3 linked regions of the Macaca fascicularis genome follow. The protein of the gene in region 2 interacts with the protein of the main gene of each other region in a biochemical or structural test. Links are inferred from orthologs where the notes say so. Each region holds a gene or a part of one and is shown on either strand. Other genes may lie near its edges.

What was found. The genes of interacting proteins can lie anywhere in the genome.
Region 1: the proteins of MAD2L1 (region 2) and UBD form a complex in vitro, tested with the Homo sapiens proteins (2 studies listed by BioGRID). The link is inferred for Macaca fascicularis from reciprocal best matches to the Homo sapiens genes MAD2L1 and UBD.
Region 3: the proteins of MAD2L1 (region 2) and REV3L form a complex in vitro, tested with the Homo sapiens proteins (2 studies listed by BioGRID). The link is inferred for Macaca fascicularis from reciprocal best matches to the Homo sapiens genes MAD2L1 and REV3L.

The regions. Positions count from the first base shown.
Region 1 is NC_088378.1:143,645,706-143,649,454, reverse strand, and holds the start of UBD (ubiquitin D), read right to left. Parts: upstream 2,465-3,749; 5' UTR 2,434-2,464; coding exon 2,407-2,433; intron 1-2,406. UniProt on the Homo sapiens protein: Ubiquitin-like protein modifier which can be covalently attached to target proteins and subsequently leads to their degradation by the 26S proteasome, in a NUB1-dependent manner.
Region 2 is NC_088379.1:125,169,932-125,173,680, forward strand, and holds the start of MAD2L1 (mitotic spindle assembly checkpoint protein MAD2A), read right to left. Parts: upstream 2,322-3,749; 5' UTR 2,193-2,321; coding exon 2,120-2,192; intron 1,281-2,119; coding exon 1,134-1,280; intron 1-1,133. UniProt on the Homo sapiens protein: Component of the spindle-assembly checkpoint that prevents the onset of anaphase until all chromosomes are properly aligned at the metaphase plate.
Region 3 is NC_088378.1:15,534,107-15,537,790, reverse strand, and holds the start of REV3L (DNA polymerase zeta catalytic subunit), read left to right. Parts: upstream 1-864; 5' UTR 865-1,143; coding exon 1,144-1,282; intron 1,283-1,406; exon of another isoform or gene 1,407-1,716; intron 1,717-3,684. UniProt on the Homo sapiens protein: Catalytic subunit of the DNA polymerase zeta complex, an error-prone polymerase specialized in translesion DNA synthesis (TLS). Lacks an intrinsic 3'-5' exonuclease activity and thus has no proofreading function.

The sequences.
Region 1 (3,749 bases), on a different chromosome or scaffold from region 2:
CCTCTCTTTCTTGGAACTTCTCCTTTGGAATTACCAAGTTGCAACACAAATAAGAAAATTTGTCCCATTCCTTTATAATCACACCTTTTTTTCAATCTTGAGAATGAAAAATAAAATCCTGAGCCCCCAACCAATTGAACGGACCCTCTCTTGCTCAGGGGGACCCTAGAGAAATTTTAAGAACTTAGTCATTGGGCCAAGGGCAGTGGCTTATACCTGTAATCCAAGAACTTTGGGAAGCTGAGGCAAGCTGATCACTTGAGGCTGGGAGTTCGAGACCAGCCTGGCCAACTTGGTGAAACCTCATCTCTACTAAAAATACAAAAATTAACCAGGCGTGGTGGTGAGTCCCTGTAATCCCAGCTACTCAGGAGGCTGAGGCATGAGAATCATTTGAACCCAGACGGCAGAGGTTGCAGTAAGTGGAGATGGCACCACTGCACTCCAGCTGGGGCAACAGAGTGAGACTCTGTCTCAAAAAGATAAATAAATAAAATACCTCAGTCATGATGAAACAGGAGGCTGGACATGCCTCATTATATCTTCTCCCTTTTGCAGTTTAGACACAACTGACTAGCAACGTTAGAGATTATAAGACTGAAAGAATGGATTATTGGTGGCAATAAGATTTTTGTAGCAAATTTTAAACAAGACCTAAGGCTATAATAGGCAAGAGTTAAGTCATGCATCCCTACACTTAAAGAATAAACTATGTTCTAACTGCCACAAAATATTTTTCTTTTTTCTGTAGCAGCTAAACAAGCACTGGCCTCGAGAGGAACAATATTAAAACAATTACAGTTCATCCACAGGCTAACTGACCCCCTGTTCCTCAAGCCATAACTACAGTTTTAATTGGACAAATGACTGATTTCAGTAATTTTCTCCTGATAAGAGACCACTGACCATGGACTGGTTCTGGCTAGTCTACAGAAGCTGCACATTTGAATGCCTTTGTGTCCCTGCTTCACCTTTTCATGTATAAGGCCTAACTGTAATGCAATTAAATGTTAAGTCTCCACCTCAGAGTGACCATGGGTGGTATATAACATGCAAGCTCATTCAACATGCATGCATTAGGACTCCCTTCATGAATATTCATTGCCTCTGCCATAACCTATTGGATATGTATACTTAGCAAACCCCTTCAGCATAAATTCCTGTGTCACTTTCCTCCTACAAAGCTTGCTTTTGGTTTTCAACCAGAAGCCGAGCTTCTCAGCTTGTCAGAATGGCTACCTTGCAGACTATAACCCTTCATAAGAAATGAAGTCTCCTTTCTAAATTTATAAATTGTGTGATTTTTTTTAGTTGACAATTTTTTATTTCGCTTTTCTGTGCATTTCAATAGATGTAAAAAACATACCTTTATTCATCTCGAGATGTAATTAAAGGTTTTCCACCTTATTTACCTGCCTCTCCTATCCAGATAAAGTTTGTCAAATGTCAAAAAAGTAAATACAGAGCTTCAAAAGATGTACACCAGACTCTAAAAACAACTGTCAAAGAGAATTTCTAAAATATGACAGCCTCATAAGATACAGCAATAGGATACCCTCTGTCAATACTTCAGAAGGAAATCCTGGGTAGGGCACATAATCACTGAACTGTTATTTTTTTTTCAAATCTCCCACTGCTTTACAATAATAACTTACATATTACAGTGACACTATGTTCAGTGTTTCTTGTTAATTTATATTTCTTGTATTTTTATATCTATCTAATATAGAATACGATCTCCTTTGATTAGACCAGGGCCTCACTCACAGAAGGTAGGGACTATGTCTAAGTCTTACTTCAATAGCTGGAAAACCCTAAAAGACTGGAAAACTCACTCCTAATGGCCACTTGAAAGCCTGAGAAGACCTCCCTCATACTCCATTCAGAAATATTTTCCCAATCTAGATATTGCAGACATTTCTTCACTGGAGGATCTGTGTTAAGCATTGCCTTAATTCCAGGTTCTCTCCATAGTGCATACTTTCTTATATAATGTAATGTGTTAGATCATTAACAACTTCAGATAAATGAGTTTTGTGAAGCTCTCCTTTGAGAGGAAAGAGAAGATTAAGTTTAAGAACCCTAAAAAATGTTTCCATAATTTCAAATCTCACCAGCCCTGTGGAACACAAAGCTCACCCCCACTTTTTTTTTCTACCATTTATCCCTAAGAGTAGCTAGTCCAATGTTTGATTAAAAAAAGAACACAGAAGCCAGATAACCAGCTTCTCTTCAGACAATTCCTCTTCCCATTCTGCAAATGTCGATGCCAGCCTCTTCCCCTTAAGGATGCCTGCCCAGCCACCCAGAGCCCTGAGTACTGTCCATCCCCCGTTTCTAAGATCTCTCCCCAACTCTTGAAAGTGCTTTTCCTTTCCCCATCCCCTTTATCAAATCCCAACTTACAGAGAGGCAGGAAGCATTGGGAGCCATCTTTGCAGTCAAGGGGCCAGAAACCAGAGACAGAAAAAGGATTTTAACTCCAGCTTATATACCAGCGTTGAATTGGAAATCCCCTCCTGGATTGCTGTGTTTGTCCAGCTTTGCTGTGCCCTTTGTTCTTGCATGCTCCCATGAATTTTCTTTCACTTTTGCTGGGCAGGAGTTAATAAACAAAGAATGCTTTCTGATTACGTACTTCTCCCCTCAGGCAATCTATTTGCAATCCTCATTCCAAACGGGATGGTCTTTCTGTGTTGAAAACTTTTCCCTGATTAAAAATCCACCTCTCCTCTCCCAGTCCTGACTTATTACTGTCCGTCCTGTGGCCTGGGCCCTCACTGGCATGAAGACCTGTAATGCTTGCTGAACCTCTCATGCTGCCTTTAAGAGCACCCCATTACTCAGGGGCCGTCCTAAGAACGAGAGCACCCAGGCAGGATACGGCAGTCAGCATTGTGTGGAGTGCTGTGACTGTGAGCCTGACATGGCTAGTCTGGCAGAAGGTGTAAAACATGCCTTAAGAAGACATAGGAGAAATAACCTCAGACTGAGAGGAGATACGAGTTAGAGTCCCAGGAGGGCCACTTGCTACATTACCTTGGGCAAATCCATTCATCTCCTTAGATGTTGGTTTCCCAGTCTATAAAATGAGATGACTGGAAAAGATTCCTAAGTGTCTTCCAGGCTCAGAAAACTTTGCTTGTAAAATTCCCTTTGCAAAATAACATTGGATTTCTGGGTCTTGAGCTCTCCAACATACGTCCTACCCTGTCCCAGAACCTGCAAACCAAATCCACTACTTGAGAACAATCCTAAGCCAACAATTAAATGCTGACTCCTCACTTCAACACACAAAGCAATCAACATCCACTCTCACACTGCGGGGCCTCTATTTCTCTACCTTTACTCCTGGATGCACCTCACCACTGTGATCTCAGACAAACCTAAAGGTGCCGCTCTCTCCCTCGCCCTTGAGACTTAGATGGAGACAAGAAAGGTGTGCCTGTCCCCGGGAAGTTTACTCCATCACTCTGATCCTCCTCGTATCCCAAATTAACTACTGCCCCCTCCCAAACTCTCAGGGCATTGCTATGGAACCAGTTTTTAAAAGCTTTTTTTTTTTTTGAAATGGAGTCTCACTTTGTTGCCCAGGCTGGAGTGCAATGGTGCGATCTCAGCTCACTGCAAGCTCCGCCTCCAGACTTCAAGTGATTCTCCTGCCTCAGCTTCCCGAGTAGCTGGGATAATAGGCACCTGCTAATTTTTGTATTTTTAGTAGAGACATGGTTTCACCATGCTGTCCAAGC
Region 2 (3,749 bases):
AAAGGCCATAGATGTTGGTAAACATTCTATAACACACAGAAAAGCACCCACACCAAAGAAATATCCAGGCCAAAATGTCAACAGGGCTATCTTCCCTTGCCTGTCAATTTAAGACGTAACATCCACAGGTTGTTGAGGCATTCCACTCCTGTACACATAAAAGGCAAGGCAATGTTAACAGTTTATCTAGAGGATAGTATAGGTTGAAAGAGAGTTATCAAGCTAAAAAAGTTCACATGGCCATTATCGGAAGGGCATATTAAAAATAGGTTAGTAAAAATGCAATAAAAATGGCAAAACAAAGACACATTTCTGGTCAACAACAAAAGAAATAATTTCTAAAAAAAAAAAAAAAAAAAAAAAGATGCCCACTGTAGTACTTTCAAAAATTTTAGAAGATCAAATGGGAGAAACATTTGAAAAATTAGAAATGAGAATCCTAAGTGGAGGGTAACATGAAAGAGAAACTAACAGGAATTCTAGAAAGGAAAAAGAAATAGATGAAGAACAAGTATTCACCCGACAGGTAATACAGCAATTTCTCGAACTAAAGAAAAACGAACGTTCAGACAGAAAAGGCTTACTGAATCACCGGCAGAATTTTTGAAAACGACAAACAGAAATATGTGAAAAACAAAACAAACAAACAAAAAAACTGTGAGTGTTCTGTCATTTAGCAGCTAATCTTTTTCTTTTTTTGAAGTTTATCTGGTTGAATCCAATTTCCTTGATATTAATCTAATGATAACATTAGACTACAGAAAACTAATTAGTTACAGAAAATACATTATATTGAGAATATGTAGTGTATATTTTCTCAGATAGTGAACACCGTTATAATTATGTAAAATTCCAACCTGTTCCATTTGGCCACATTAACTGCGAAAGCCACTTCTAAGGGAGTTGATGAAGACTATTTTTCAGCCATATCAGATTTCTTACATCAAAATATTCAGCCCACTCACAATGTAGTGGGGGAAGAGTGAATTTCTTCCATTTTATATATTATTTGCTTCCTCTCAACTTAAAATATATTTGAGATGTGAGTACACTTCTATTTGCAGAGCGGAAAAATGACCACTTGAGATGCTAAAAAATCTGCAAGACTCAAATTACTTCCAATGATTAAATACCTTTTAGTTGTTCCACCACATTATTTAGGTATTTTATGAGCTCAAGATCAGTAGTTACAAGCAAGGTGAGTCCGTATTTCTGCACTCGAGTAAAAGTTTCAGATGGATATATGCCACGCTGATATAAAATGCTGTTGATGCCGAATGCTGCAAGCAAAAGAAATGTTACAGAAAATTCATTATCACTGCATAACTCTGGAAAATAAAATATATTTGGATGTGGCTATATTTTCATTAGGCTATACAGCTATAAATGACTGAACACACGTGTATCTTGCTGAAAGCAGAGTAGGTACAAAGTGGCATTAAAAATCCTTAAAAGTCTTGTATCTAAGTAAAAAAAGATAATTGTTTTCACGTGCCAAGGAAAAAAAAAGCCAAAGTGTATCAACCTACTATTGCCAAATTTCACCTCATTGTAATCCAAGTCCAAATTCAGATTATGAGGCTAGAGGATGTCAAAATAGGCTGTTGCATTCGAGTCAGCAACTGACTGAATAGTCACTTTGCTCCAGACAAGCCTGTATCTTCCCCTTTCCCTCCCAAATCCTGCCAGGTTCCTTTACAACGTGCAGCTGGCCTGTTCGAGAACAAGGGTTCCCAAAATCTTGTTTACCGCCAGCCTCATGCCTAATAATCACTTAGAGTGGGAGGGTGAGGGTGCTCTCGCAGTTAAAAAAAACACACACATACACACCCACACTGGGACCCACCCCAGTCACGCTGTGTCCTGTATCGGAAAGTAAGGGGTGGGAGGTGGGACGGATCTGCACTTAAAGGAAGAAACGCTCCGGAAGAGGCTACGCCGCGAGGTAGGCCCCAGCAGCACGCAGGCTTGCAGCTCCACGTTATAGCAACGCGTCAGGAGGAACAGCCTGCAGCCGCCGCTCCCAGATTACTTCTCCGGTCTCAGAGGCCGAGCTGTGGGCCTACTGAGCCGCCACGACTCAGTTCCCCCCAATATAATGGCCGGCGCGAGGACTTACAGAAGAACTCGGCCACGATTTCAGCGCTCCCGCGCAGGGTGATTCCCTGCTCCCGGGAGAGCTGCAGCGCCATGGCCAGGGACACAAACAAAGGCACGCACTTGCACTCGGCGGACAGCAACCACAGCGGCTCCCACAGCACTTCCCCGCCAAGCGTTTCAAAAGTAACGACGCAGCGCGTTGTCCGGTCCTCTGCGCAGGCGCGACGAGCCTCTAAGCCCCGCCCCACGCGGCGGGGCCCTGCCCTTTCTCTCCGCCTTCCTGCGATCTCGCGGGAACGGCCGGTTTGCGCAGGCGGAGTTGGTGGACCTGCTCGCGCTTGCCGGTTGTGACACTCCGGTAGGTTTAGGTTAGGCTGTGTCTTCTGGTCGTGGTTTACTAGTTGGGGCCGAGGGAAGAAGATGTCGATTCCAATTTCAGTAGCCGCTCTCTAGGCTTATGAACTGAAAGACCAAGGAGCACAGTTTCCGAGTTTCAAGATACTTTCAAACTGAAAGGAACGGTTTGCCAGCTGCGCCCGTACTGGCCCATGTGACCCCTAGTGAAAGATCTAAACTTCCGCTAGATGCTTTGGGAATTCCTAAAGCGACTACGTGCACAGCAGCCAACCCACAGCTTTAGAGGGTTCGCCTTCTGTGTGGGAGCGCGGCTTTTCCCGAGAAATTGGGTTAGGGATTAAAGAGAACTGCATCCTTTTTTCTGCCCTTTGTCCACGTCTGTCCTGGGCTTAGGGCCACCCCTCCGAGGCCAGCGGGGTAGGCAAGTCGGGCGGTAGGGGGCTGCATCCGGAAGTCCAGGCTGCGTTCTGTCCACCCTGCCCACCCTTAGGGGGCAGGACAGGAATAAGGTCACCTCACCAAAGAGGCCCATCAACATTGAAGAATTTTTCAATGAATCTTGACTCACCAAACTCAATGACTTTTCATTGAAAAGGGTGAGAATTATTAAGGACATATTGCACAATTAATGTTCATGTCCATTTTGAAAGAAGTTTATTCTTAAAGCAGCTAGGAAGATATTTGTAAAACGACGCCTGAAAAACTCTCATATCTGCCAGACATTATAAGAGAAATACTTGAGTGTTGTTAGTTTTCCGTTTGCTGCATAACGAATTACCACACATCAGTGACTTCAAAACAACACCTATTCGTTTTCTCAGTCCTGTAGGTCAGAAGTCTGGACGTGGCATTGTTGACTGCTTTGCTCAGTCACACAAGGTTGAAATCGAAGGGTCTGCAAGTGGGATCTCATCTGAGGTTTGGGGTCCTTCTAAGCCCTCTGGCAGAATTTCCTTGGGGTTGTTGGACTGAGGTCCATTTTGTCTCGCCAGCTGTTGGCCAGAGGCCAGCTATGTTTGTCAGCTAGCCCTTCCACAAGCCTTCTCACACTTCCCATCTCTGTGATTTCGGGGAGACCCCAGCCCCTTTTAAAGGCTCACCTGATTAAGTCAGACCCAGTCACATCTCCCTTTTGATGAACCTAGTCCCAGAAGTGATATCTGCTCATATTTGTAGTTTTCCTACCCAGACTCCGGGGAGGGGATTATGTAGGTGTGCTCTCTAGGGGCCAGGAATGTGGGGAACTGGCTTAGAGTTCTGCCTGTACAGTGTTGTATATCATGTTTTGATCA
Region 3 (3,684 bases), on a different chromosome or scaffold from region 2:
CTGGATACGCCAACCCCTCGCAAAGCTAAGAGCCGTGCGTGAACAAATCTCATTAAATGGCCCCGCGCAGACACTGCAGCAGCAGGGAGGAGGGAGCACGGCGGCTCGCGCGGCACGTTCGGGAAGGGGGAGCGCCAGGGCGGCCCTTTTATAGGCCGAAGCCCGCGCCCGCGCGCCCCCACCTTTCGCACCGCCCCCGGGCCACGCGCGGAGCCGCGGCGTTACCTGAGAAGGGCCGGCTGCCTCCGCACCCGGCCCCTCCCGTTCCGCCGCCCGCCCGCCAGCCCGCCCTTCCCTCCCGCGAGGCCGCAGCGGCACGAGATCTGCGCCTCGCCTCCCTCCTCCCGCGGACGGATTTTCTTACCTTGTGAAAAACCGTCTCCGCGGCTGCCCCCGCCTCCTCTGCTGGATGTGAAATGGCGGTCGGCTAGGCAATTGTGAGCACCGCAGCTCCTGCCAATCCCGCATAGCCGCCAAAACGGCCCCGAACACTGGCGCACCCCTCCCGCAAGCCCCTCGAAGCCCATCCATGAGATCGGTGCTCTGCCGCCCCTTCCGCTGCCCCTCACCCAGGTGACCGTGCCCGCCGGCCGAGTCATCGATCCCGCGCGGGCCCTGTCGGCCGCCGGCCGCCTCCCTCACTGCGTGCCCCGGGGGCGGGGGAGAAAGCACCTTCTCGGCCCCCGCCCTCCGTGTTCCGCCCGGGCGCCCGCCCGCTCCCTTCCTTTCCCGCCGAGCCCCCTCCCCCGCACTACTCGCAGCCCTCCCTTCGCCACACACACCCCCCTTTCCCCTCCCCCAGTGGTTGCGTCCGTGACATCATCATCATGGCAACAAGAGCTGCAGCCTGGGACCGAGGAGCCCGTGTGATTCCCGGCGGCCGCAGCAGTGGCGGCAGCACCAGCACCGACGAAAGCTCGAGGGCTTCTCTCCTGCGGCCTCTTGCCGGGTGCTCCTGAGGAGGCGGCGGCAGCAGCGCCTACACCGCCCCGCCCGCCGCCGCTCCTCGAGGTGTCTGTGTGTGAGGGGAGGGGGCCGAGCCGAGAAGGGGAGGGGGCGCCGCCGCTGCGGAGGGAGCCGCCGCCGCTGCTGCTGCCGCTGCCGGGTCGCCAGTGAAGGGAGGCAGTGGCGGCGGCGGCTAACATGTTTTCAGTGAGGATAGTGACTGCAGACTACTACATGGCCAGCCCGCTGCAGGGGCTGGATACCTGCCAATCCCCCCTCACCCAGGCCCCTGTCAAGAAGGTGCCGGTGGTGCGAATCTTCGGAGCGACCCCGGCAGGTAAGCGGGCGCGGGGCGGGAGCGGGAGTCGGCGGGGCGCCGGGGCCGCCCTCCCCGCCGCGCACACGCGCGCACGCCGCCGGCGCCGGCCGTCTCCGTGGATCGCTGCCGCGTCTTCCCTCTCCTACGCCCTCCTCGCCTTTTCTCTCGCGCGTGACAAGAGGCGCAAAAATGTGGGTCCGCGCGAGCGCTGCGCGGCGCCCCCACCCCCGGGCAGGGAGGCGGCGAGCGCCGAGTGTTTACACGGCGTGTGGCGGCCGGGAGCGGGAGCCGCACTCCAGGGCGCGAGCCGGGGGAGCGAAAGCCGCGAGCGCCCCGGACGGCGGGCCAGGTGGCCGCGCCATGCCCATCGGTGGACGGGTTCGTAGGGTCCGCTCTGAGGTCGGTCGCTAGTGGGACCCCGGGCATCCCTTGTGTCCCTGAAGTGCCGCTTTCTGGAAACGGGGAAGTGTCAGCCTTGTTGTCAGTCGCTCCCCATGGCCTCTTTTCACCCTCGCTCTCCTCTGCCCCTTCCGGAGATGCAGTGGGCCGAAGAGAGTGGCGCCTGGGGCCAGATAATCTTTCTCACTGGGGTGACCGTGTGACTCTGCTGTGAGTGCAGGTCTGATTCCTTAGAGTTTAGTGCCAGAGCGTCTGGGGACAGGGCAGCATCCTCAGGTGCAATGCTTTCAGGAAATGTTCATCCATGAAAGTAGGAAATGCGTGTTTATGTTGCCCAACGTAAAATATCACACTTAACGGGGTGAATTTATTAGGAACCACAGCCCGACTCAGCAGCACAGACATTTTGAAAGGCTCCTAGACTGGGCTGTAGGCTTGCGTTTTAAGTACAGGTATATTTTTTAAACACAACTATGTTGAAGCAGGGGTGAGAAGGGGAGAGACAGCAGTGCAGAAGGTACGTTCTCAAAAACTCTTGGGGTTTATGATAATATAAAAAAGATAGAGGCCCAATTTACTAGGTGTTTTAAAATGGTTTTGCTTTTTTGTATGCTTTGAACTGCTTCCATGAAATAATGGAGTTCTAGGAAATAATGCCTCCTAGGAAAGGATGCTCTTCCCTCTAGCTATGAATTGCCCTATGGGATTTTAGATAGCATTTCCCACTTGATGCTCCTTGCCCTCATCACCATTCATCTTGTTACTACAGTCAGTTTCTGTGGACTACCAAGATAATAGCGCTTTCCCAAACACAAGCACTCATTCTAAGCTGTTATCTTTTAATGTGAATTCTCTTTGTTAAAATGTCAATGTCGTGAGATTTGGTAGCATATTCCTTTTTAAACTAGTGAATATGATTTTGATATGAACCTTGAAAGATGGGGAATTTGAGTGCTTTTAACGTGTTGAAAGTGTAACACTTGAAACTTTGGAGGCTGGGAAATCGAGGAGATGAAGTGTTCTATAAAATAGGTTTTCTGCCCTTTTAGATGTAGTGGTGCTGTCTTTGTTTCCAATTGGAATTTCACTGTAATGCTCTGTTCTCACTTCAGATGCAGAGGAAGGATAAGATAGTGAAGTTGATATGGCTCTGTTCAGCCAGATTTCCGAATCATAAAGGGACATGCTAGTAGGATATACTGTGGCATTTCTGTGTATTACAGCTTGTATTGTTTGAATTACTTTTCCACACATAATTTTTTCTCCTCCACACAAGTCATTAAATATGTTTACCTGAGAGATAGTCAAGCTTTGTTTCATAGGAAAGTTTCGTTTGTGGAAATAAATGAGTTTCACTATAAGCTAACTAATTCTATAACGTGAGAAATTGCTCCTTAAAAATATAGAATATTATATGCTTTTGTTTTTCTGAATATTTTTAAAAAGACACATTAACTGTTTCCTATTTCATCCTTCATGGGCATCCCACAATAGATTACCAGCCCCTTATTAAAAAAAAAAAAAAAAAAAAAAAAAACCCATAAAAACCAAAGACTAAAAACCCCCACTGTGTGGTTTTTTTTTTTTTTTTTTTTGGTATATACTTTGAAATTTATATTTTAAATGAATTAAAAAGTGACACTTTTTATATGTACATTGAAAGACATAAAACTTGATACAGAGAAAGTCAAATTTTAAATTAAGGATTATCAAATTGAATTTGCTATATAGTTCACAGTTTGCAACAAAAATGTTTGTTTCAACAAGAAAAAATTTGAAGTCATTGGCATACATTTAGAGTTTACACTTTTCATAAACCAAGCCAGCATTTTTATTAGTACGTCAGAAACTCCCAGTGAGATTAATATTAATTAAACATAATCAAAAACTGCAGAATTATCTGCTTTTGAATTATCTCCCCACGGAAAACTAGTCCAATAAAATAAAACGTGAAAATTATTAATATTAAAAGAGAGGCCAGTCTGACTTAGTAAAACTGAATGCTAGAATTTTTAATGAAG